Drosophila melanogaster: one gene and its partners. The protein of the gene in region 4 interacts with the protein of the main gene of each other region in a pairwise test. Each region holds a gene or a part of one and is shown on either strand. Other genes may lie near its edges. The genes, in order: CG12158, CG12824, CG30154 and CG1275.

The links.
Region 1: the proteins of CG1275 (region 4) and CG12158 interact in a two-hybrid assay, tested with the Drosophila melanogaster proteins (one large-scale study listed by BioGRID).
Region 2: the proteins of CG1275 (region 4) and CG12824 interact in a two-hybrid assay, tested with the Drosophila melanogaster proteins (one large-scale study listed by BioGRID).
Region 3: the proteins of CG1275 (region 4) and CG30154 interact in a two-hybrid assay, tested with the Drosophila melanogaster proteins (one large-scale study listed by BioGRID).

Annotation. Positions count from the first base shown.
Region 1 is NT_033778.4:9,361,405-9,366,166, reverse strand, and holds CG12158 (uncharacterized protein), read left to right. Parts: upstream 1-3,260; 5' UTR 3,261-3,277; coding exon 3,278-3,331; intron 3,332-3,385; coding exon 3,386-3,517; 3' UTR 3,518-3,593; downstream 3,594-4,762.
Region 2 is NT_033778.4:7,786,577-7,791,609, forward strand, and holds CG12824 (uncharacterized protein), read left to right. Parts: upstream 1-3,791; 5' UTR 3,792-3,825; coding exon 3,826-3,922; intron 3,923-3,980; coding exon 3,981-4,060; coding exon of another isoform or gene 4,061-4,116; coding exon 4,117-4,249; intron 4,250-4,302; coding exon 4,303-4,421; 3' UTR 4,422-4,533; downstream 4,534-5,033. Other genes in the region: CanB2 (calcineurin B2), read left to right, coding at 658-956, 1,015-1,185; CG12825 (uncharacterized protein), read left to right, coding at 2,680-2,782, 2,845-2,924, 3,001-3,136, 3,197-3,312.
Region 3 is NT_033778.4:20,530,871-20,535,949, forward strand, and holds CG30154 (uncharacterized protein), read left to right. Parts: upstream 1-2,488; 5' UTR 2,489-2,521; coding exon 2,522-2,582; intron 2,583-2,651; coding exon 2,652-2,785; 3' UTR 2,786-3,064; downstream 3,065-5,079. Other genes in the region: Bbd (bombardier), read left to right, coding at 3,656-3,722, 3,784-4,454.
Region 4 is NT_037436.4:2,249,971-2,259,350, reverse strand, and holds CG1275 (uncharacterized protein), read left to right. Parts: upstream 1-1,927; 5' UTR 1,928-2,239; intron 2,240-2,538; exon of another isoform or gene 2,539-2,729; coding exon of another isoform or gene 2,730-2,745; intron 2,746-3,340; exon of another isoform or gene 3,341-3,528; 5' UTR 3,529-3,538; coding exon 3,539-3,812; intron 3,813-5,364; coding exon 5,365-5,574; intron 5,575-5,658; coding exon 5,659-6,022; intron 6,023-6,079; coding exon 6,080-6,254; 3' UTR 6,255-6,607; downstream 6,608-9,380. Other genes in the region: oxt (peptide O-xylosyltransferase), read left to right, coding at 1-22; Elp5 (elongator complex protein 5), read right to left, coding at 678-771, 834-1,479, 1,549-1,597; CG32305 (uncharacterized protein), read right to left, coding at 6,622-7,103, 7,155-7,355, 7,412-7,821, 7,872-8,140, 8,194-8,283, 8,336-8,582, 8,641-9,380.

The DNA of each region.
Region 1 (4,762 bases), on a different chromosome or scaffold from region 4:
TGGCAGTCATCACATCATTTCAAAGCGATTTCCTTAATGATTGCAAGTGGTTGTGGGTTGTGGGTACATCCACCACTGGCGTCATCCCAGCATTTATCCAACCATTTGCTCAGCTGCATAGCTGATTTAATCAGACTCAAGCTGCATTCAAAAGTATTTCAGCAGCGTTAAGAGCAATGCGCTTTTTAATAGACCCAAAAACCCTAAAACCTCTTGACTCGCCGGCCTGACTTAATTGCTTTCCGGCAAAAAAAAAAAAAAGCTAGAAGCAAAACGGCAAAACGGCGAAACCACCAGGCTGTTTTTGGCAAGCTGCCCTGTCTGCAGCCGAAAATTAAATTGGCCATGTTTAAACAGCAAATTTGGACAAAATTAGGCAGGCCTCTATATAGTTTTCCAAGGGCCGGTGGGGGTCAGTCGTGGCAAAGGCAGTGGCATGCCAGGGAATTATTCAAAACTCGGCTGGGCAGTGAAATGAAGCAAAGCCACAGCCGCAGTTATTTGAGGTGGGCCCATGACCACGTAATACCCTGCGATAACCGAACCACTGCCCGAAAGTGGGTGGTCGGTCCACAAAGCACATCTACATCCCGGCATCGCGGACGAATCCCAGCCAGACCATCGGTCTGAATCCATAATGAGATGAGTGCACCACGGACAACTTACGCAAATATTTGGCAATTATCTAGTTCGGTTTCGTTCACAAGCCCTGAGAACAGGAAACCACCGGACTCGTAACATCTCGACGAAACATCCACACCGGCATTATTATAATGACTGAACATTGCAGCAAATTAGTCAAAACAAAAAGTAGCTGGAGCGAATGAGAATGGGAAAAACAGAAATGTAAACTCCAGGGAATAGAACGAACTAAAGTATGCCCTATATTTCTCTAAAATTTCCAGTTGTGTCGTGCCTTCCATGAAGATGACAATTTTCCTTATAAATTTTACCCATAATATGTATTCAAAGAAATCATATTTCCTGCTTCTGTTTCTCTTTTTTAAGTAAAGGCCAGACTTCGTTTAATTTTTAATAGACCCCATCGCAATAAGTGGTCTCTAAACGGAAATTTCTGTGAAATAAGTCAGAGCCCTGCTTGCGACACCATTAATAGACCCCATATTAGGACATCAACCATAAATGTTGGCTGACCATCCTGGTCCAACCGATCCGACCCGACCCGACCAGGACATCTCCTCGAGAAGGGCGCGGCAAAAGTTGAGTGGCCATCGGGCGTGTCAAAAGACAAACACCAGAATGCCGCGCTGCGGGTCTCTTTGTGTGTGTGTGTCCTGTCCAAATGCGAGTGTCTTTTAAATACTCATTACAAAATTAATTCGGGGAAAAGTTTTGATAAAAATCCTATTATAAACATAAATAAATAGGCTGGCCAGAGGCAGAGGCGGAGTGCTTTGCGCGGGGGGGTCAAAGGACAAAGCAGTGACTGTGCAAACAATTGTGAGTGTGCAAAGTGGAAAAGTGGGCGGGGCCGTTGGTAGTGAAAGGTAGTGGCAAAGTCAAAGTCAAACAATGAGGCAGCCAACTGTAAAGGACGAGGGCTGAGACTTCATTAGTGCTCATCCACAATGTATGCTGGTGTCGTCTTGCTACCCGAATTTACCGCCCTCCTTCCCCCATATGGCCATCCAAATCCTTGGCTATTCCTCCGTCGTCCTGAAAAGTGCCGAAATGGTTATAAGGCGTTATGGGTTCGCCACTCGCTTGCGGTTTATTCAGCCGCTCAGTTCGCGACTATGGGCATATTCAATATTCATATTTCGCTGTGGCAGGGACATTTATTAACCGAAAAAAACCCACACAAGTACACAGTAAGAAATCTGCACAAAGTCGTTTATAATATTTTTAAAAATTATTTCTGCAACTGCTTGCATTGTTGTTACTATCATACGCATATGTATGTTTCTTATAGTTTATTTTAATTTTTCAAAATTATTGTAATAGAGTTCTTAGAAGATTAATTTCAAGAATGCCTCCCAACTTAACATTAGAAATTACCTATACTTGTATCAATTGTAACTAAATAATTCAACTATATGCACTTCCTTCAGTCTGCAAACATCGATGTGCCCATAGGTGGTGACAGGTGAATCGGCGGGCGGGACCCATCGTTGTTGTGTAAACTAGAAAGTCTTGTTTCTGTTTGGCCAACGTTCGGCAGAATTTAATCTCAAGCTGAAACCGAAGACATTTTGCCACTCAACGCTCGAAAATGCCGAGCGAAATTGCTTTGCCCGACCATGCCCCCAAGGTGATGGCGAGGGGCAAGTGAATGGGCGGTGGCAGTTGGATGGCAGGTGGATGGTGGGTGGTGTGCGAATCTCTTTCAAAACGTGTAGTGTCAGTCAAAGAATGGTGGCATATGGGTGGCTGGTGTGTTGGATTGTTTGAGCATACGCTCAAATTAAAAGACCGAGCAGCAATAGGAAATCCAGTTTGAATAATTGACGGTTTACTCTGCCTAGACAAACTTTATGAAAATGTAATAGTGCCTAAATGAATTGATTTCGAAAGCTTCGTAAAGTGCGAGGCTAAGGAAATTTAATATGCCACTTGGAATATTTTAGGAAAATAGTTTACCAAGACAAGATACAAAAAACCAGAGACAGTGTCAAAAGTATCGAATATCAGATACCTGTTACTCCGACTGCTTCCGTGAGTGCACACGAGCTCCACCTAGTGGTTATTTTTCAGTAACTGCTTATGACGCTCTGATGTTATCAAAGATAAAACGCCCAAATATTTTATAATCAATATAGCTTTTGAAGTCAGAGTGTGAATCAGATCGCTATATGTTGACTTATAAATTCTTACCATCCAAGTTAATTTTTCGCAAAACGTATTTGTTTTGGCGTGTCCAAAATGTTATTAAATTTAGAGCTCAATCTATACATTTTTAGTTAATTATAGCTATGATATGATGACCTTAGTGACATTTGAGAGATATTCTGGCTAATTTTTTCAAATTTGTTTTTCCAATTAAACAGCAAAATGATGGCTCCCCTTTGGAGTTATTTTGTCGTTTTAATATATTGTATATGCGATCAGATCGGGTCACACGCAATTACGACATTATAAATCAGATTCGAGCGAGCAAAATAATACAGAATGGCATTATTAACATACAAACTGATTTTGCCATTTTGTTCACTGCGATGGTTAATTGCACTGGATTATAATCTCTTGGGAACCGCAGTTGTGCTGTATGACTATAAAAGACCACATGTGTTGTTAGTTTACTAGTTTCAAATTCAACATGAAGCAGTTCGCATTGTTCAGCATCTTCCTTCTAATTCTGGCTGTGGGTTTGGTAAGAGTTGAAGGGTTTTCAATCATCCACTTGGCCTAACCAGAGGTTTTCCAGGCACAAATGCCGCTGCAGGTGGCCGCCCAGGGCCAAAATGGACATTCGCAGGGACAGCCGCCAAGACCGCCAAATGGCAATGGAAACGGCAACCAGCAGAGTGGACAAGGACAAAGCGGGCAGAACAACTAGAACTGGGATATTTCTGGAGGGGGACACACACCTCCTCGCCACTTTCCCAGTTACTTAAATAAACACTTTCCCCAGCAAACTAAAAACTTCGTTTCTTGAACCCCGTAAGCTTAGAAAGGCAAGCTCGATATTAATGGTCAAAGGGAAAAGAGAAATTCGAGGGTAGAATCTTAAAGCAAATTGAAATCGAAGGGAAAATAACATGACTGAATAGATTTGTCATCTTAAAGGCTCTGAAAACTTCCACTATCAGTTGAAAATATAGGCCCGCGTTTCTGTTTATGTATGTGACTAAAAAAAATGTTATGTTTTACACAAGTTCTTAGAGCCATATTGTTTTACAATTGTTATACACTTTTTTTGTATATTCATTCTCCTCCTCGCTTTGTGTATTTGCACTGCGTCTGGGCCAAGCCAATTTGGAAAACTTTATTAATAAAGTGCACAAATTATGAGCATGAAACTCACCCCTCAACCCCGCGCACATGGCCATAGGTCCATTCCGGCTGATGAGCCAGGAAAGGGGTTACAAAGGGGTTTCAATGCCGGGCTATTCGGAGCGATGGAAACCTACAAAGCGCAACTTCTTCAGCGACTTGTGTTCTACATTCTGTGAAAATGCAAATGCTTATTACTCGTACCAAAGGAGCTGTGCCGCCAGGCAGTGCATAATTGCATTATGACTGCCGGAGTCTGGATGCAGCTAACCCTCTGTTCAAAGTCGCCGGAGAACCCAATCCCCTCCCAACCGACATCCCTTGCAATTCCCGGAAAAACACCTTCTAAGCCGCTCTACTTCAGCAACTGAAATGCAGCCATGTGTGAATGCACCTCGGAGACTAACCGAAAAAGTTATGCTATCGCTATCAGTCAAAAAGGATACATACTATACGTACATACATACATATGTATGTACATATGTAGAGTCTCACAGGGAAGGGAAGCACTGAAAATGGCCATTATTATCCCTTATTTTAAATTAAAGTAAATTCTTCCAGTCCTCTTGTTAACTATGATTAATAGCAACAAATGAAATTTACATTTTAGACTTGGAGTGGTATTACAAATGTCATAAAATAGGAAATATATTTCAGAATTTTACATTACTTAGGGTAGTAGGATTTAGTCCTTAAATCAGTGTATTTTAATAATAGCAAGTGGCTAATGAACGCAAATTTGATTGGAGCTGATACAAATCAATCTGTTGTTTTGTAAGCTGAATGATTTGCATAATCATCCTAAATG
Region 2 (5,033 bases), on a different chromosome or scaffold from region 4:
GAATGGCAGCTGTTTATGAATATGCAAACATGGGCATTTAGAAGCGTACATTTAGATACGGTATGCATGTACGATTGTACGCCCGTATGTACGTATGCACATATGTAGGCATGTAAATACGCGAATGGCCAACAAAAGTGGAATGCAAACGAAACGTGGCGTAGAAATACATTTTGAATTCCCAACTCTTTATTCCGCACCATCGTCCTATTTCAAAATTGCCATTCTAGAATGTGTATTTGTCACACCTTGTCGCACATCTGATGATCGACAGACAACCGGATGCTAAATATAAATCGCCAACAATCTTAACCAGAATCTCGAAATCTGGTTTTACATCTGCATACTAAAGGGCTGTTTAAATGCTCAATACTATATAGTTACTTAGCAGAATAGTAATAATTAAATAACTTTAGTTTCAATTATGTGATTTATATTCGCGAAAAGGAATAATTTACATTTGTATGTTAGATAAATTTACTTAATATTTCAAGTGAAAATAATAGTATTTAAAAGCTTTATTAATCCTAATAACGCTATAGAAATTTGATGTTGAATTTTTAAGTATAGAGTTCAAAGAGCTCCACTGTAATCATAATCCTCACACCGTTCTAGAATCTAAATCTCTATTTCTATATATTTCCCGCCTTTCTGCAGTCGACGCCGACGAGATCCGGCGGCTGGGCAAACGTTTCCGGAAACTGGACCTGGACAATTCGGGCGCGCTGAGCGTGGACGAGTTCATGTCGCTGCCGGAGCTGCAACAGAATCCGCTGGTGCAGCGCGTGATCGACATTTTCGACGCGGACGGCAACGGCGAGGTGGACTTCAAGGAGTTCATCCAGGGCGTGTCGCAGTTCAGCGTCAAGGGCGACAAGCTGTCCAAGTTGCGCTTCGCCTTTCGCATCTATGACATGGACAACGATGGTTACATTTCCAATGGCGAACTGTTTCAGGCAAGACCCGCGAACATTACGTTAAGCTCATTCCACTGAAGTGTTTCCCCTCTAAAAGGTTTTAAAGATGATGGTAGGCAATAATCTGAAGGACACGCAACTGCAGCAGATTGTGGACAAGACGATCGGATTCGCGGATAAGGATGAGGATGGCAAGATCTCGTTCGATGAGTTCTGCTCTGTGGTCGGCAACACGGACATTCACAAGAAGATGGTAGTCGATGTCTAAAATAGGTTTAACGCAGATCCTTTTCTACGCGATGTTATTTATTTATTTTATACACGTCGGCATCCTTCGATTGTCACTATCACCACTATTCATATGGTTATTATTTTTGATCGGCGATTCTCTATAGTTAAATATTGTTATGAGCCTTTGGCGAGCCAGTTCAGTTAGTCAGTCAGTCAGTCAGCCAGCCAGCCAGTCAGTCAGTACAGCGATCGAAGGCTTAGGGAGAAATCGCGAATGCAATGTTGTTATCCTAAGTTGAAAAGTGGAATAATGCGCCTCCTACTTACTTCTTAAATATATTCATCTATATACTTATATATAAATGCATATATAGTCATAATTTATTATACAAATATACATTTAAAGAATTCAAAAACCCCAGAAGCAAAACTAAACTTAACTAAGGCGGAATCCAAGTTCGTGCAAGCAAAGGCAAATAAAGCAACCCAAGTTGAACGAATGCTCTATCGAATGCACTTTCGCTCTATCATATTGATGTTATATTTCTAATTCTCCTGTGATTTTGCCAAAAACAAAACAAAAAAAAAAAAAAAAAAACAACAAAACCAATCGAAATGCAACAAATCGAAATATGAAGTGCTTATGATGAGAAAGGACAGATGCGCGGGGCAGCTAAGCAACCTGCCCGAAGGAGGTCTCCTCTATTGACTTAGTCTTATTTACACGTTGTGTACTTTTTATATATTTATACATACCTACTTGTACTAATCGAATGTTATAACCTACGTAACGTATTTTTATATATCTTGACTAACTTGATAACACCAGAGGAAGGCGACGTTTGCCAAGTTTCTTAAGTCTATCTTAACCAATTTCTAACGCCACTTAACTCAAATTAATCAACGATTCTCACGCAGAACGTAGAACGCCTCGAACGTTTTCTAAAATACGCTACATTTTGCAGTTTATAACGCGAGTTAACTGAAAATCGAATAGTTATTATACATCAAAACATACATATGAAGCAATGCCGTGCGGTGATATTGCAGTAACATTTTTTTATACCTAATTATACTAGTTAAAGATGCAAGAAAACCAAATAGTAAAACGCATGTTACAAATTTTACAATTAACAAATTTTTGCACACTCGCCACTCTCAATTCGTTAGCTAATCAATTAAATTCCATTGCATTATTCAAAGTAATCGACTCGAGGTCGTATCTCATTGTAAAATGGTGTAGCCACAAGTTGGGAACCCATCGATAGATAGGCCCGCATGGATTGCCCAGTTAGCTGGCCAGTCGAAGCAATAATAAGCGAATCCTTCAATAAAATTATAATTATACACTAACCAACAAAGGTTTTCTTCAATTGTTGTTGCGCTGGTGGAGGAGCTACAGTACAATATGAGATTAGATAAGGTCTGCGGCAAAAGCTAGCCTGCTCACCCATCACCACCATGAATACTCCCGTCCAGTTTAGTTGTGAAATAATCGGCGGTCTGCAAGTTACTCTGCGATTTTGGAAACATGTGGAAGCTGGACACCAAAGGAGGAATCATCTGCTCGGGCTGCCTGTCCATAGCCTTTGCCATAACCTATCTGGTTTTGATGGACGATTACTTCTGGAAATGTAGGCGCATATACATACCAATCTTGGATATCTTTGCGATGCATAGAGCTATTTCGTTTCAGATGGACTCTACGAGATGGGAATACACATTTCGGCGCTGCAGATCTTGGGAAGCGTGGTCCTCATCGTTGGAGCCATAAAGGTTAGTTAGGCACACTGTGCACAGTCCACAACACTCTTATCTCTTATCTCTTTGCTCTGCTCTTTGCTGCATACAGCAAAAGCACAAGTTCTTCGTGCCGTGGATGATAACCACAGGATTCTTTTTATACCTGATGGTGAACCTGTTCATTTCACTGATAGTCCAGGGCACAGCTTGGATCTTCGGACCATTGATGGTCGTTCCGTTCACAGGTGAGGAGTTAACGCAGCCAGAGATTGGACAGCCAATTAACCAAAATCCTTCACTTTCAGCCTATCTGGGCTGCGCCCTGTACTCGGTGCAGAAGGCCTTCGACAGGATGCGCAAGGAGGAGCCACCGGCATATGCCAGCTTGTCCGACAAGAAGGAGTTCATCAATCACATATAGATACATATATAAGCAATTTCAATACAAACAAAAAAAAGATTAAAGGTAGATCAGATAGCTGGAAAATAAAAGCTCATTTTAAGTGCTATTCAAACGAAACAAACCCACAAGAAATCGGTGTAAATTTAAACTTTTCTAAAGTTTATTACAATTTGCAATGGGAACTATAAACTTTAAGGCAATCACTTTTGTGAACTATTATTTTCAGTGTGCTCTGAAAATATATTTGTTATCTTTTTTCTGCGAAATTTCGTTTCCAGCTCACATCTCTGTTATCTCTGACAAAGGTAATTCTGTTTTTTTTTTACTTTTATCATTTGGCTTTTAGCAAAGCTTGTTTTCTATGATGCACAATTTTATTATCCCTTTTGCGGTGCCTATATATCCCACAAAGGCTTTTATGTATATGCGTTGTATATAAAGCAATGGCTGATTAGATAAGTATTAAAAAAAGCTTTTTAGTAATGGAACAATGGATCATTTGCGAACAAAACGCCCATCGAGGAGTTGGAAATGTGGAAACCGGACTCCAAGGCGGGCATTATTTGCTCCGGGGCTGCATCGATCTGCCTTGCGATCGCCTACCTCATCATATTCGCCAACTTGAGGGGTACTGAACGGGGGTCAAAGTTCAAGAGCCAGCACATCTAATACCAGTTTCCCCGCAGAATTATCCTACGCATTTGGAGTTCACATAGCGTCCATGCAGATTATCAGCAGCGCAGTACTCATCGGCGGAGCCATCAAGGTCGGCCATACTCCCAATGCAACTTCCAATTTTTCACCCACATTCTCTCATCGCAGGAGAGGCACAAGCTCTTCGTGCCCTGGATGATCACAACCGCCATGTTCCTCTACTTAATGGGTTACTCATCCATTGTGCTGCTGGCCATGGGCGATTGGTTAATCGTCATGTTTTGCGCAGCGCCAATGATAGGTACAATATAGAGATTAACTTCGTCCTTCAATAAATCCAAAAACTACTTTCAGGCTGCCTCGGAATGGCATTCTATGCGGTGCAGAAGGCCTTCCGCAGGATGCGCAAGGATGGGCTTCCACCGAAGTATGCCGACATGCAAGTCAAAAGTATTTTGGTGAATCCCATATGATGCATTTTGCCATTTACAATTGTTGGTTTATCAAAAGCATGATGCTTCTGAGATATGGTTATATATTTTGTCTTTACTAAATGCAATAATTATATATAATATGGTGAAGAGCATTTTTAGTGGTGTTATTGTATTTATATATTACATTCTATAATATACAAATTAATACTGAGAGTTTGATTTGTTGAAATTACTTTTCCATTTGATTTACCATCAATATTTTTATGATTGTTAAATGGAAATTCTATTAAGCCTTATAATTTGAACAGAAATAGCTCAAATAATAAAAGCTACATATTTTTTAAAAATATCTTAAGCTTAGCATTTGGAAATTTAGAATGACGGCATTTTCAAATATCCCGCTCTTTGCAGCCCTGGTTGATGCTAATCGATTCAATTCTGTAATGCCGATAAGCTATGTACCAAGCAGCAAGCATATGTGTATGACCTTTCGTGACCTTGGTTATGCTCATAAGAAAGCCGCTTTGTATAAGAACGCAGGTCGATATATGAAAACAAACCCTTTATCCACCAAAAAGTATAAAGTATATATAAGCTATATAGTTTATATGGTCTGAGTTCAATTGGTCGTTATGTGTATTTATGTTGTTT
Region 3 (5,079 bases), on a different chromosome or scaffold from region 4:
TGAAAACACTCGTGTTGTTGTCCTGGATCATAACAAATATATATATACATGTATATATATGTATAAGTACATATTCGTGGGCTGTGTACTCAATTAGCATTAATGAATGTCCCTCACCCCGTGCAGGTAATGCCTATAAAGCTTGCCCAATAATTCAATTAATGTCGCTTCGCTGACGCCCACTTTGCCCCAAGTTGTTGTTTACTTATTAGGCTAATTGTGTTCGTTAGGACCACCTGCCTTGGTGCAAGTACTTTAAACTGGAGATTGCTTCCATTTTTGATTGATCAAATACACTTTCCGTGTCTTTAGCTCACCCCCCCCCCCCTTCCACCACCACCACCCACACCATCATCTTCAACTGACACCGTTCTAACAATGGCTCACGTCGCAAGTCATCTGCAGCAGCCCAACATCGTCGTCTGCATTTCAAAATCGCACACAAAACATTTGCCAAATGCGAAAATGCAGTCAAAGTCGTGCAAAATGCAGTCTCCTCTAACCTGACTCATCAGCCACCACCAATAGCTAGACACACTCTTTCCACCAACTGACAAATGTACACTGCAAAAAAAAAGTCGCGAAACTTAAAAGTTACAGAAAATGCTTAGCTCATAAAACGATAATCTTGCTTTATATTTCTTCAATATGTACCAAATTTAATTTCAAAGCATATAATTAAATTATATTATGAACTTATTAATTTCAGTGCAGTCGGGATCACTCAGTGAACACATTTTTTTGTGATTGTGCAGTCAGCCGTTAATAGAGACATTGAGGAGTGACGGAGAGCGAATTAGAGGGTTAGACAGAGAGGGGAGTGACGATAGAAAAAGAGGGGGCGACTAACAGAATGAGCGAACAAATACCTCTTCTAGTGCTATTTTCTATTTGTACTTTGTGGAAATGTTTGCTGTTGCTGTCGCTGCTAACGCGGTGTGCAATTGTTGTTATATTTAGCATCGCAGACGCAATTTATATAAAGTTTAATTGATTGGAAAATCAAATCGATTCGATTCGCACTGCAGCAACAACAGCATCCACAATGGACAACGCACATTTGCCTTTGACCAGGCGCAGATTGTGCATGGGAATCCCCCGGGCGAATCGCCCAAAATGGAAACCCACATCCATTGGCCAGCATACAAGCCGTATTTCAGACTCAAAGTCGTTTATCTTGCCGCCGTTTGGGTACGTTTCTGATCTCGGTTTTGCAGTTGGGCTAATGTAAGTCGCACATAAATTGAATAAAGAACGAGTGTAGGTGGCAATAAAAGCCAGGCCAACACAGTTAGGTTAAATTAAGCTTCTTCTTAACCTGCACTTGAGTGCCAGAATTCAATTACAGTCTCGTCGTGTTTAGAAGCGGCGATTAAGGAAAGGTACTAATAGCCTGATTAAATCTTTAAAATTCCGAAACGTTTCAGCGTATTGTTGTACTTTCTCAACTATTTTTATACCATTTTTTTGATAACTATGATCGTTGGATTTTGACAGGACATGTTCTTGAAAACTCAGCATAACAACGAGCTAAATAACATGTCAAGGCACTGAAATAATTGGCTCTACACACTACTTCAGTTTTTCCTAGTGATGGACAAACTTTCAGCAATGGCATTTTATTTTCCACTTTACAATTGCTTTATTTGAACAGAGTGACTCCACCACCACTCCAATTTTCCAACTAATCCAAATCCATGGCCACTCAAACAAAGCAGCAACAACGAAACGCTTGTCATTAACAAACAATGCAGTACCTGTTTAATTTTTATTGTGAAACTTGGCTCGACGAGAGCTTAACTTTTCCCGATGCAACGCAGCTTAGATAGCTATATACACCCACTCAGCAACGATAAACCCACTCGACGCCGGGGGACATTGGATAATGTCAATGGCCGGGGATCCGAGGTGGGACCGAGCAGTTCCACGATATGTTTAATGGCAGTAGGAATGGAAAAAGTTTTACGTATAGCAAAGCAATTCAATTGAAAATAATTAGAAACGTAGCCACATGGCGAAACTTCTTAATTACCCGGCTATTGTGCGTCTACACTGAAATAAATATCTACTGAATGACTTAGTTAGTGGCGTAAATTAGGATTATTTTACTTTTTAAATTATATGCAAAAGCGAATATAAAAAAATATTTTTGTAAAATATAATAAATAACTTTTGACACTTTAATCCTGTTGTATATAACCATAAATTTCTCTGAGTGCATTCGACAGTGGTGGCACGATGGTTTCAATGAGAATTAAAAGAGTGCAAAGAACAGAAAATTGCATTATGCATAAGTCGCTAGAGCTTAAGCCATTATCGAATCCCTCCACGTATCCAAACATGGACAAATAAAGATACAGAGAATGCCACTAAGAGAGGGAGTGAGAGCGAGAGTCCAAAGCAATCCAAGAGATACGATTCGAATAAGAGATAGAGCGCTACTTGGCTATTGGAGCCGTATAAAACAAGTGTGTCCATATTATGCCCCATCATTGGAACATTGGAACTCCTCGGCTTGATCATGTACCTACGTCAACAACTCTGGGTTCTCTTGCTCTGGCTCTGCTTCGTCGTTCTCAGCGGTGAGTGGTGTTCTAATATCTATATCTATTATCTATATTTTTATAAACCCACATTTGTCATTTGTGAAGTGCATGGCATGCCGTGGAAATGGGGACCTGCCTCCAATTCTGGACCCCATGGCGGACCCGCCTGGAATGGCGGAGAAGAGTCCACCGACAATATAGTCATCCATTCGAAAAACAGCGGCAAGTGGCGTTACTAAATTTATCCAAGTGGCAGAGGCGTGACCACAACCAAGTCAAGCTGGATTTTACAGTAAATTTGTGAATAATTTTACAACTACTTTGCTTCGCAATTGATTTTCGTCGAACAGTACTCGATTTGTATGCTAATACTTCATTCATGGTCACACTCACTTATATATAGTCACTTTAATTGTGCACCTTTTTATCTATGACATTTAAATATAACCCTTTACTATACTGTATGTAATAGAGCCAAAATATTTAAACGAGATTAAAAGCCTAATATTGCAAATATGAATATGAAGATACAGTTTATACGGCTTTTGAAATTGTTTCCTGAATCTAACTAATATTGCAATCGAATGAACAAACCGAAATAATCTACGAAATTATAAGCTATTGATTGATATTGATTTTATTGATAAGTATGCAAACGAGCTTATGGGAATTTTTCAATTCTGATCGTCATAACAATATCAGCACGTGTTTTATAATAATTTTTTCAGAATGTTGCAAATCGCAGCGCACCCAACTTTTCAGTTTCTATGGCATATCTGCGTACTTTTGGCCTGGCTAAAAAGCGTTCTTGATTTGACACAGTTCCCCCCACTCTCTCGATCCGTCTAAATCGAGAGTGAATTGGCAAGCCGGTGACGAAGTGCCTCTGTCGCTCAACCGCAAGTAAACAAAACAAACCCGTCGGTGGCAATTCCCGGTAGACTGCACCGCTGACCTCCTCCGTCTTATCTGTTATTGCGCGAGAGTCACTGTCACTGAGAACCGATCTCATAGAGTATATAGAACGAATACGGCGCGATGAGCCGATATTTTTATGGGATAGTATAAATAGCTGGCATCGCACTTGGCATTGGCATAGTCAATGCAAAATGGGCTCGAACACTGGAGCTTGGATTCTACTGGGCCTGCTGGCCGGCATCGCCTCTCTGTCTAGCGGTGAATATATAGATATACTTTGTATGTGCAGATAGAAAAAAAATAAATTGTATTTTTATAGCTGCGAATATACAGCGAAATGAGGACCAGACGATTCTTCAGAACAATGGAAACACCTTCCTATCAAACGGAGCCGGGCAAATCATTCGTGGACCCGATGGCAAAACAGTATTGATCGGATCCGATGGGCGCAGGATCATCACGGATGCCGACTCCAGCGAAGAGGACAGCTCGCACGATTATGGTCACGGTGGGAGCTATAACAATGTTATCATCAATGGTGGCTCGGGATCCAGCGTAATTCATGGCGATGGACATAGCTTCATTGTTGGAGATGCGAGTCATGGAAGTTACATGAACAGCAATGGACGCAGTATTAGGATCATAAATGGTGCCATCGAACTCAATGATCACGGCCAGGTGTACACATTCAGGCCAAAAGCAGCAGGCATTAACGAAAAGGAAACCGTCACCATCAACGGACAACCGGCTCAGGTGGAGTACTCCAATGGTGATATAGTCATCGAACTGGCCGATCATACGGTGATTGCCAAGATAGGTGGACGCACATTTCTGGGCGATCGCGAATCCTTCGACAATCGGGATAAATTAGAGGCGGAGGCAAAGAACTATGCCGATCGTATCCAGCAAGAGGTGCACGCCAATCTCCAGAAAACCATGGCTGATATTCAAAGGGATCTTCAGAATTCCCTGGGAAATATTTTCTATTAGAAGCCAAGTAATCAATCGTACACGAGTCGCTCGAAATAAAGCGCCTTTGCAGCAATTGTCTTGACTTTAATTGTCTTATCTATGGTTTACAAGCTAAGATGTTCTAAAAGATACATATCTAGTGTGTAATCCAAGTACAACAGACCCCAGACATGAGGCGTCTTTGGGCATAATCTTCCCATTTGACCGGCCTGAGGCCACAAACGTGTGGGTGGTTAGGTCAATTAATGGGAAATGACGCCCGGCAAATGTGATTGATTAGCGGGAAACTCACCGTATAGGCAGCTTATGGGGCGGCTAAATCTAATGCTTAGTATCGCCTAACAGACTAGGTTTGTATGGGCGTGTGGCGATTGGAATACAATTACCGAGCTTGCGGCGGTGTTTATGAACACTTCTTGGTATTTAAATGACGGAATTTCCCAACGAATCTTCGTAAATAAGACCAAGGTCTCTTATTCTTTATATTTGTGTTTTCCAAGCTAACTTAATAAATTCTTAATTAATGGCCTTGATCTTTTGTCAGCCACAAATTGTCTAATTGCATTGCTGTATACATTTGCTTGTTTATGAAAAATGCTTTTAATTGAATTAGGGTGGGTCGAACGAAATTTCTGCTTATTTT
Region 4 (9,380 bases):
TGTGGATGCCCTGCTCAAATGAGCCATTGCCATGCATTAATTTGTTATTAATTCTCTAGTGTAAATACTCGCCAAGATTTAGATGTCGAACCGCAATTAACGATTTTTTGATAGCTCCTTTTTCTTCTCGATGTTTTCGTATAGATTGTTGTGATAATGTGAACTTTTAAGCGCCATTTTGACCGGAAGCGGAACTCCGCCGCTCCAATTGTATTTGATTTTCATATCAATAGAGCATAGTAGCACTTTGGAACTAGTTAAGTTAGTTAGGTTGAACGCCTTGTAAATACGCCACGCACTGGACACCAAAAGATCGCATTGCAGCCAAATATCGTGGAGGTAATCGAGAGTTAACTGTACATAAGGTTAGCTAGATGAAATTCCTTAACTAAGTCATAAGCTAGGGCACCACCAGATAGCAATTGAATCAGTTGTATGTATTCACAAGTTTCTTCGATTTTTTGATTCACATATCAAGTTATCCAAAATAAATGAGCAATTCTACGTGTACTAAGTGGTCGTTCAAAGATTCATTCTGCTCCTCTGGCGAGGTTGAACACACCCCTAGGCGGAACTTTGGGGCCGGAATTCCAGGTATTTTATGGTTTTAGTAGGTTAGACTTAAGGAGACTTAAAGCCAAGGCTATTTGTACTGCCGTTCGCTGCTGGCGGGCAGCCTAGATGCACAGATCCTCGTCCGGATCCTCCTCGTCGAAATCGTCGTCGGCATCGGGCGTGTATATTATGTTTCCCTCAGACGGCTCGGATGTGCTATCATATATACGAACATATCAATAAGGAGATGTAACGCATAGAGAATGGTTACCACTCACCGTTCGTATGGCAGGGTGAGTGCATTGCGGGCCAACACTTCATCCTCGTCAAGCTCGATTTTGAAGGTGCTGCTGGCCGGCTCTGTGGTCTGCTCCGCCTCGGGCGAGGGCTGCTTGGGGGAGGCACCTGCAGGCAGTCCTCCGTCCAGCGGCGTCACCTTGAACTGGGTTTTGCTGACTTCGCAGGAGTAGCGCCTGTTGGACACCCCTCCGCCCGGCTTGCGTGATATCAGCGAGAGTAGTTTGTCCGATTCCAGTCGGAGGACCAGCTCGGCCAGGTACTCGCAGCCAGCCAGGATGTAGTCGGCATGCGGATCCTGCAGGTGCTGCGGGGAGGCCCAAAGGAAAACCCGACGCACATTGTCCGAGCGGCGTAGGCGGTTGAGGAAGCCAAATATGAAAGCAGGCGTCTGGTAGCACAGCAGGTCTGCCAATGTTGGCAGGATGACGTTAAAGCCAGTGGAGTTGGAATCCGTAGTACTCCCAGTGTTGTTGTTGGCGTACTTGTCGATCAGTGCCTCGAAGGTGGCCACGTGCTTAAGGCTGACGCCGGTGGGCAGGGCCTTGATGGTATCCGCCCCCTGTCCCTGCTCGTGCAGCAGACTGCCGATGAACTTGGGGGCAATGCGCTCCCGATTTAGCTCATCTGTGGATGAGGCGGGAGATTGGTGGTCGCATTATTTGGCAGACGATGGGGTAGTCAGTGTGTACTCACCTATTACGAGGACCACTTTCTGCTTGGTCACCACCAGGTTGGAGAGCATTTTGTTAGCATTTATTGTGGGACTACCTAAATATTATTTTAAATTGAAGCTTTTTGTTGGAGCTGCCAGTGCTGCCGAGCTAAAGGCGTTAGCGTGTTTCAGTCGTGCTCAATGGGCCACACTGGCGGCATAAGGGAATCCAGGGTCTCGAAGTAAATGTTTTCCAAGCTCTAGTTAAATATGAATATAAAGTTTGTAAATTTTTAAAATTAAAACTCACACAGTCAGTACTTTCTATCATCATGTGAACGTATATTAAATGCACACTATTTTTTCAGCACACGCAGCTACAGTATGATTCTCGCATCCCTGGTTGTCCCGCTTTTTTCCAAATGAGTAAACAGAAAATCGAAGCGGTTAACAGATCGAGTTACAGTTTAAAACCCTTTGATAGTGAAAGTTTGACCGTGTCCTTGACTTGCTGTACTAAATTAAGTATCAATGAATGTGCCGCTTTAAGTTTAACTTGTTAATAATAATGCTGACGTAGTAAATTCGCACAGCATTCCGCTCTCTTATGCTGCCAAATTATCTCTTTGTGTTTGTGCCGTTTCTGTTTGTGTTCTTGCCTCTTCCGTTGAAGACATTTTGGAAATATTCCAAACAAAACACATTATTGGATTACTGATTCATTTCAAATCTGTAAGTTTACCTGTTTCTATTTCAACTACGTCTTTAAATGTAGTTTACAAACAGTTATAATTTGGTTGTGGCTTTCCATTAATATAATATCCAACAAGTGGTTTTTCTACAGTGGTGTGAGCCCGAAAGTTTGTTTGCATGTGTGCTTCGGCGTTTACAGTTCTGAGCTTCCAACGAAAAGCTCGTGGAAATGCCAAATGAAATGGCCAAGTGCGGCAGAGTGGGCGGGGCTTTAGGGCTTTCACGCCCACGCAGCCTGTGCAGAATTTCCACGGCTTTTCCTCCATATGGAAGGCCCAGCTTCCTGCATTTTAAGCAGTTTGTTCAACAAGTAGAGTAAAGTGCGTGGCAGTAGCCACGAAAATCAGAAGTAATCGCGAAAAACCCATCGTCATCGCTTTAAAGTCACTAATTGCTGCTAAAGATAAGAGCAGGCGGTATTGAAACAGGCATTATCTGAGCAGAGTGAAGCATCAATCAAGTATACGCCATGTTGTTCTCACTGGGTGAGTTGAAGTGCACATACAGTCATTATTGCACAGCATGAACTTAAGCTCTTTAAGAGGGAAAGCTACTTGTTGTCCTTAAAGGTTTCACTTTACTGTAGATGTACTTTCGAAACTAAGAACAATATTGAAATAGTTGTTACTAACAAATTTTACCCAAAAACTTTTTGTAAACCCTTTTACGTTTTGGATTCCACTCCTTCTGGCAAAAAGTAGTTCCAATTGAAGCAGTTCCACTGCACCATCCCATTACTATGCACAGAACATCAAAGTCAAAGTCGCAATTGAAATGCCGCGCAGTGACAATGGTTTGAATAGATCCGAGGAATGCGAAATGCAAATAATCATCAATGCACCCCCTTCCCAACCAGAAGCGATCGACCTGGTCCGGCATACTAACCAGCATTCGTTGGCACCCAAAGCCAAAGGCAAAGTCAAAAGCAAACCCAACCCCACTGGAATCCTATCCGCATCGAGAACCAAACAATTATCCACACCGAAATGAGCAATATGTGTGTGCGATGTCGCATGCGAGAGATTTGCGAGCGGAAAAAGCTTTTCCTAACCATCGCCGGGCGGCGGCTGGAAAACTTTAAATTCAGTTGCGCATTGCACGCCGAAGTGTTCGGTTGTATTAACGGGGTGTCGTGCGGATTAGTTACTAGTAGTTAGTTACTAGCATTTACCAGTGTTTTTGTGCTGTGTCTTAGGGCAATTAACACCGTCCATTATACGTTGCATGTCTTTTTGTGGTTGAACCATTGGTGAATTATTGATTTAAAGTGCACAGACCATGTCGAAGGACGCGGACGTGGAGCAGGCGACCAAGCCGGAGAGCGGAGTTGTCCAGGTGGAGCCAGCGATTCCGGAGCAGCCACAGGCCGCCGTTCCGACCACCATCTCCACGGCGACCACAGTGATCGCGGTGACTAATGGGGAAAAGCCAGCGGCAGCGACACCAGCAACAACTGCAACACCTGCGACAGCAGAACAAGTGCAACCTGCAACAACCATCGCTGGCATTGAGTTGGCCACTCCAACGGCGGCGGCAACTTCACCACCAACAGGTAGACTGTGCATGGCATTGGATTTTGGCTGCAAGTTTGATTAGTGCCAAGTAAAATAAACCAACAAGCCGAGTGTTTAGTTATAGTAAAAGTTAAAGCAAAACGCACCGAAAGACAGACTGCAGCCGTCCCCTTTCCCCGCCGCGGTTTTCACCATCACCATCGGCATCACGATCCGCGATCAGCAAGCAGCCACTAGTAACCAGTAACCAGTAACCAGCTGAATTTCACTTTGGTTTTCCAGACTTTATTTATTTTGCTCCGCTGTCTTCGGACTTGTACGCTTTTCCAAATTCATCCAAAGTCATCTGCCCGGGTTTTACTTTCGGTCTTTTGGTGCGCCTATGTGGATTGTTTATTTCAAATTTTGCGCACGATCTGCTGCAACGCTTTGCTGGTCAGCGTCTTTGGCACGCCCACTTAACCCTAATAATTAACAGTCATAGTCACAGCTAATGTGCCAATTAATTTCACTCGGAACCCAGAGCTGCGTCGAAATGGAGCACTCCAACTGGAGCCCATTGAGTAACCGGGGACGCGTGGCTGCTGCCAGTTACCAGCATTTATAATTGCGATTGCCAGCTACAAGTGTCTCCGGCGCACTTATCAGCCAATTTACAAGCCAACACTTGGCAGTTTGGCTCATTTGCTTATTATTCGCCCGAGTCGAAATTAAAACACCATTTGCATACCAAACGCCAATTAGGGCGGCTGATAGCGGCCCTTATCGAGTGCATCTGCACCTACAAGTTTACTAGCCTTTTAAACTATCTTAGTCAAGTCCAATCTATACTATACCAAACTATGAACACGGCTACTTTCACTACCCGTACGTTCCGTAAAATGAATCGAACTTTAATTTATTTAATGTATCATGCTGCAACATCAAGCACGAGGAACTTGTACGATGCTATTTAAAGCGATTTAATATCAGATGTTCGGACTATCTGGAGAACATACTGATAAGGCGACAGATAAAGTGGGCAGAACGCTCTGGCGTTGAAAATTAATGTTGGGTAAACAAGCGCAAATGTTTACGCATGAATTAGCCAAATTACGCCTGGTGAGTGGCCGGCGAAAGGGGTCGTGGGTGTGTCCCAGTGCCTGGGAACAGGCCGTTCCCATTAACTCAGGGCCCAGTCGATATGATGAGATCTTGTTTATCGCAGTATCGGATGGCTGGCGGCAAAGGAACTGTTTGTTTACCCAACGAGTGCAGCTGCCATCGAAGCGGATCAGATGTACAACTGTTAAAGTGGGTTTTTGGGAAGCCTATTGGCTCCCTAAACTTCTGGTCGCATGTTATCAGCAAGTGCTTGGGGGTTATTTTAATCTGCGGGCAGGTGGAACATGTAATTGAATCATGTTTACGTAGCAGAGGCTATAAACCAAAAGTATGGAAAATATAAACGAGTGCTTGAGATCCCCTTCCCCTTTCGATGCCCCGATATCTCTACCCTTGAATGAGTTATGCGATTAGATCGCCAATGCGTGCTGTGCGTAAAATGGCCTCTATTTTTAGCTCATCCCCAGCTTTTATTGGATTTTTCAGGCAGCGGCAAGGCCAACATGGATCCAGCGCTGATCAACTTTAAGGTGCTCTATGTGCTCACCCAGCTGTGCGGCCTGACCATGATCGTCCTGGTGGCCACCTGGATTGGCCAGCACTTCGGCGGTCTGGCCGGCACCTCAAATCCCGGCGTGGAGTTCAACTGGCATCCGCTGTTCATGACCATTGGCTTCATTTACCTGTATGGCAACTGTGAGTAAATGCAGCGGAAGAGGTGCCACGCCACTCCCATTGACTAGCTTCGAAATGGTAATCCAACTCAATTCAATCCCACAGCCATTCTGATCTATCGTGGTTTCCGCACCACGCGCAAGAAGACTCTGAAGCTTACCCACGCCGGCATCCACATGGGTGCATTCATTCTGACGGTGATTGCCCTGAAGACGGTCTTCGATTCCCACAACTTGGCCAATCCGCCCATTCCCAACATGTACTCCCTGCACTCTTGGCTGGGGCTCTCCGCGGTGATCGTCTTCTCGCTGCAGTATGTGGCCGGATTTGTGGCCTTTTTGGCGCCGGGGTTGAGGGAGAACTACAGGATCGCCATGATGCCGCTGCACATCTACTTCGGACTCTTTGGATTCGTTCTGGCTATTGCTAGTGCCCTGATGGGCATAACCGAGAAGGCCATCTTCGCCATGTAGGTGTATATGCATTCTAGATCGATCACTTGACTAATCCATGACGACATTTCTAGCAAAACTCCGGCTTACTCCACTCTTCCACCGGCTGGTGTGTTGGCCAATGTGATTGGAGTAATGTACGTGGTCTTCGGGGCGCTGGTTGTCTACCTAGCCACTGAGCCCTCCTACAAGCGGAAGCCCATTCCCGAGGACACGGCTCTGCTGAACTCCAGTTCTGTCAACGAGTAAGGGCTATGCCCATGCCCCAAATCAACTGCAATGCTTACTTAAGCTAAAAACTGTGCACAAAACCAAACGAAACCGAACCTGATCACACGGATGGTGCTTTCTTAGTGATGGAGATGGAGATTCGTCAAGATGAGTGTATTATCTGTAGCATGTACATAACCTAACGACTATGTATGACTCTGAATTATGAACATACGTATACTTTGGTCACCAGTTGTGCAATGATTTCAGCGAGTGCTCAAATCATAACGTATTTAACCTCAAGAAAAACATTTGCTTTGAACTGTACGAATACATCTATATATGTGTGTTATATATGCTTAAATAAATATATATATATATATATATCTATTAAAATAAATTTAAATTAATGAAGGTTCCCGGCCAGAAAGATGCCTCCCTTTTGGCGCTCATGTATCGAGACCTCCAGTTCATCGCCTTCAGATACATTTTCCTCGAGCTCTCCTTCAGCCTCCTCTTCATCCGAAGTGGAAGACTTTGGGGGCACGAAGCTCGGGGTGAATGACAGTGAAAGAGTGTCGATGACCCAGCTTTTTGAGTCCTTCATACTCATGCTCACTTGGTCGTGATCTTGGAATGTGAGATCCGGGTCTACGACCACCAGGTAGGTGGGCACCTTGCCCACTCCCTTTACCTCCGTGTGCCCTCGGTAGTTGCAGCGGATGTTAAATTGTCGCAGCACCTTTGCCGTGTGCCGAGTTACTTGGATGTTGTCCAGCAATCCAGTGGAGGACATCCGGGAGGCCATATTGACGGTATGACCCCAGATATCATAGTGTGGTTTCGAGAGTCCAACAACGCCGGCCATCACGGATCCATGGGAGATGCCTTAGATATCATTGGATGGATTAGGATAACGGTGAAGGTAATGCAGCCCACCTATCTTCAAGCTCCCCGTTAAGAATGTATCGTACTCCGAGAACACGTAGTTGTACCGAATGTCGTGCATGATGCGAAGTAAGTCCAGGGCAAACTCGGTCATCACCAGGACGGCGACATCTTGCACTTGGGCGTAGGGCTGGCTGACATTATCGCCGCTCATCTCATCGTCCTCGGTACTTCCAAAATGGACAGTCAGAACTGAATAGATGTACCTTTTACAATTGTACTCTAATCTAGTCGTGGGAAATAGTCACCGCTGGATCCTCGTCTAATTTCGGAATCAGCTTCCGGTTGCTTGACCGGAATGTCGATGGAGAAGTCCGTGTAGTGGTCCGTTTCGAGGCCACAGGCCACCATATAGGTCCAACCCATTACCTTGATCTTTTCGATTTTGTACCTGGTCTGGTAGTCAACCAGGAGGTCGTCGAAGCAGCAAATGATCTCGTGCAGGATCCGTAGGCCCGCCGTGTCGGCGTTAAAGTTCTCGATGGAGGCGAACATCACGGCCACCTTGGAGAAGTTCTCGTAGTAGAGCTGGTCGTGGGGTCGTCGCACCTTGTACACCTGAGCCACGTGGGTGGGCAGGATGTTAGCCATAATGATCTTGATGGAGCGCAGCTTTTCATCAGTTTGCTGGTGGGCTTCCTCGTAGCAAACGCGCATGCTGAAAAGGGAATGAGGAACCGATATACACAAAGATCTACACACACTCACAAGTAGTTAAACTTCCGAAGGTAGTTAACGTGACGTTCCCGCAATACGAGAACAATGAAGAGAGCCACCAGATACCAGGTGTGGGCGTAGTCCGACTTAAGTCCCAGATCAGTGGTCTCCGATCTCTCAAAGGCGAACCCGTAGTATAAATGGACGGTGCCCAAGTGGAGTCCAAGGATGAGCAGGCCGGCGAGTATCTTTATCACCAGCGGACATCCCGGGACGACAAACAGAAGACTGATCACGATGACCACACAGTAAGTGACAGTCTAAAAGTAGGAGATGTTTTCTAGTTTTCAAAATTGTAGATAGTGAAACCAACCCATGGACCGAAGCACTCCGCATACGACTTCTCATTATAGAGATGGGCTTCGATAATACTCAGTTCCAGTTTCGCTACATCACAGGAAAACTGTAAAGGATATGCAGAGCATTGTTTTTGATCACAAATTATAAATACTCACCACTGCTTGAGAGGACATAACGTAGAGCAGGAGCAGTACCACCATGGTCAATGGAATCCTTACGAACAGAGAGTCCTCGATTCTTTCCGAGATCCTGAGAAGCCATCGACTCAGGAAACAAGAGGGCTGCGACATGGGCGTTAGTTTCTTCCACTGCAGCCGAAGCTTTTTGTATCCAGCCAGAATGCACAGGATCAGTAGTATGAGAAGAATTCCGAGCAAGACCAGAATATCAGGGTATGTAGCTCTGTGGATCAAGAGATAAAGTGCAGTACTTGGCAGATTAACTAGCAGAGTCGTCTTACTCTTCGATTAAGTTAATGCTCATTATGGCCAGTCCAGCACAAAGAACTAAGAGCATGGTGTACTTAATCATGAGGTCAGGCAGGTTATGAAATTCCCACTCCCTCTTCCAGCTGCGGAACACACCCAGCACAAGGTGGATCTGGTTGCTAAACAGGTACTCCTCATTGAAGTCCTGTTTCTTCATCGAACTGCTCCGTCTCCATTCTATGAAGCAGTGCCCTACCGCCATTTGATCCACCTCCTTCATTATCTCGCGCTGCGCCTTGATCTGGATCTCTTCGTAGTATCCTCCGTAGCTCAGGCGGCATGAGTTTATGGAGGCGCTGCTCAATTCGTCGTCCAGTTCGCCGGGCTCCACTGCATCAGGAAGTCGATTGCTGACCAGGAAGGTGCGGATCCCCGCTTGCTGCAGGATGGGATCATTTTTGGCTGCCTCGGTGCCCTCTCTGAATATATAGTGCTCGTCCAGCATGCTCAGCGTCCGTTGGGAAACGTGCACCAGTCCCGGCAGCCCGGATGACTCCAGCCGATTGGTGATGTCCACGTCCTTGGACCAGATGTCAAACTGCCATTTGGTGTGCCCAATGATTCCTGCAAACACCTCACCCGAGTGCACACCAATTCGAAGGTTAATGTCCAGCTCGCGCCGGCTACTCACACCCTGCGTGATATGGATCATCTCCAGCGCCTGGTCAACGCAGCAGGAAGCGTGGGCGGGAAAGTAGTTCGGGATGCCAGC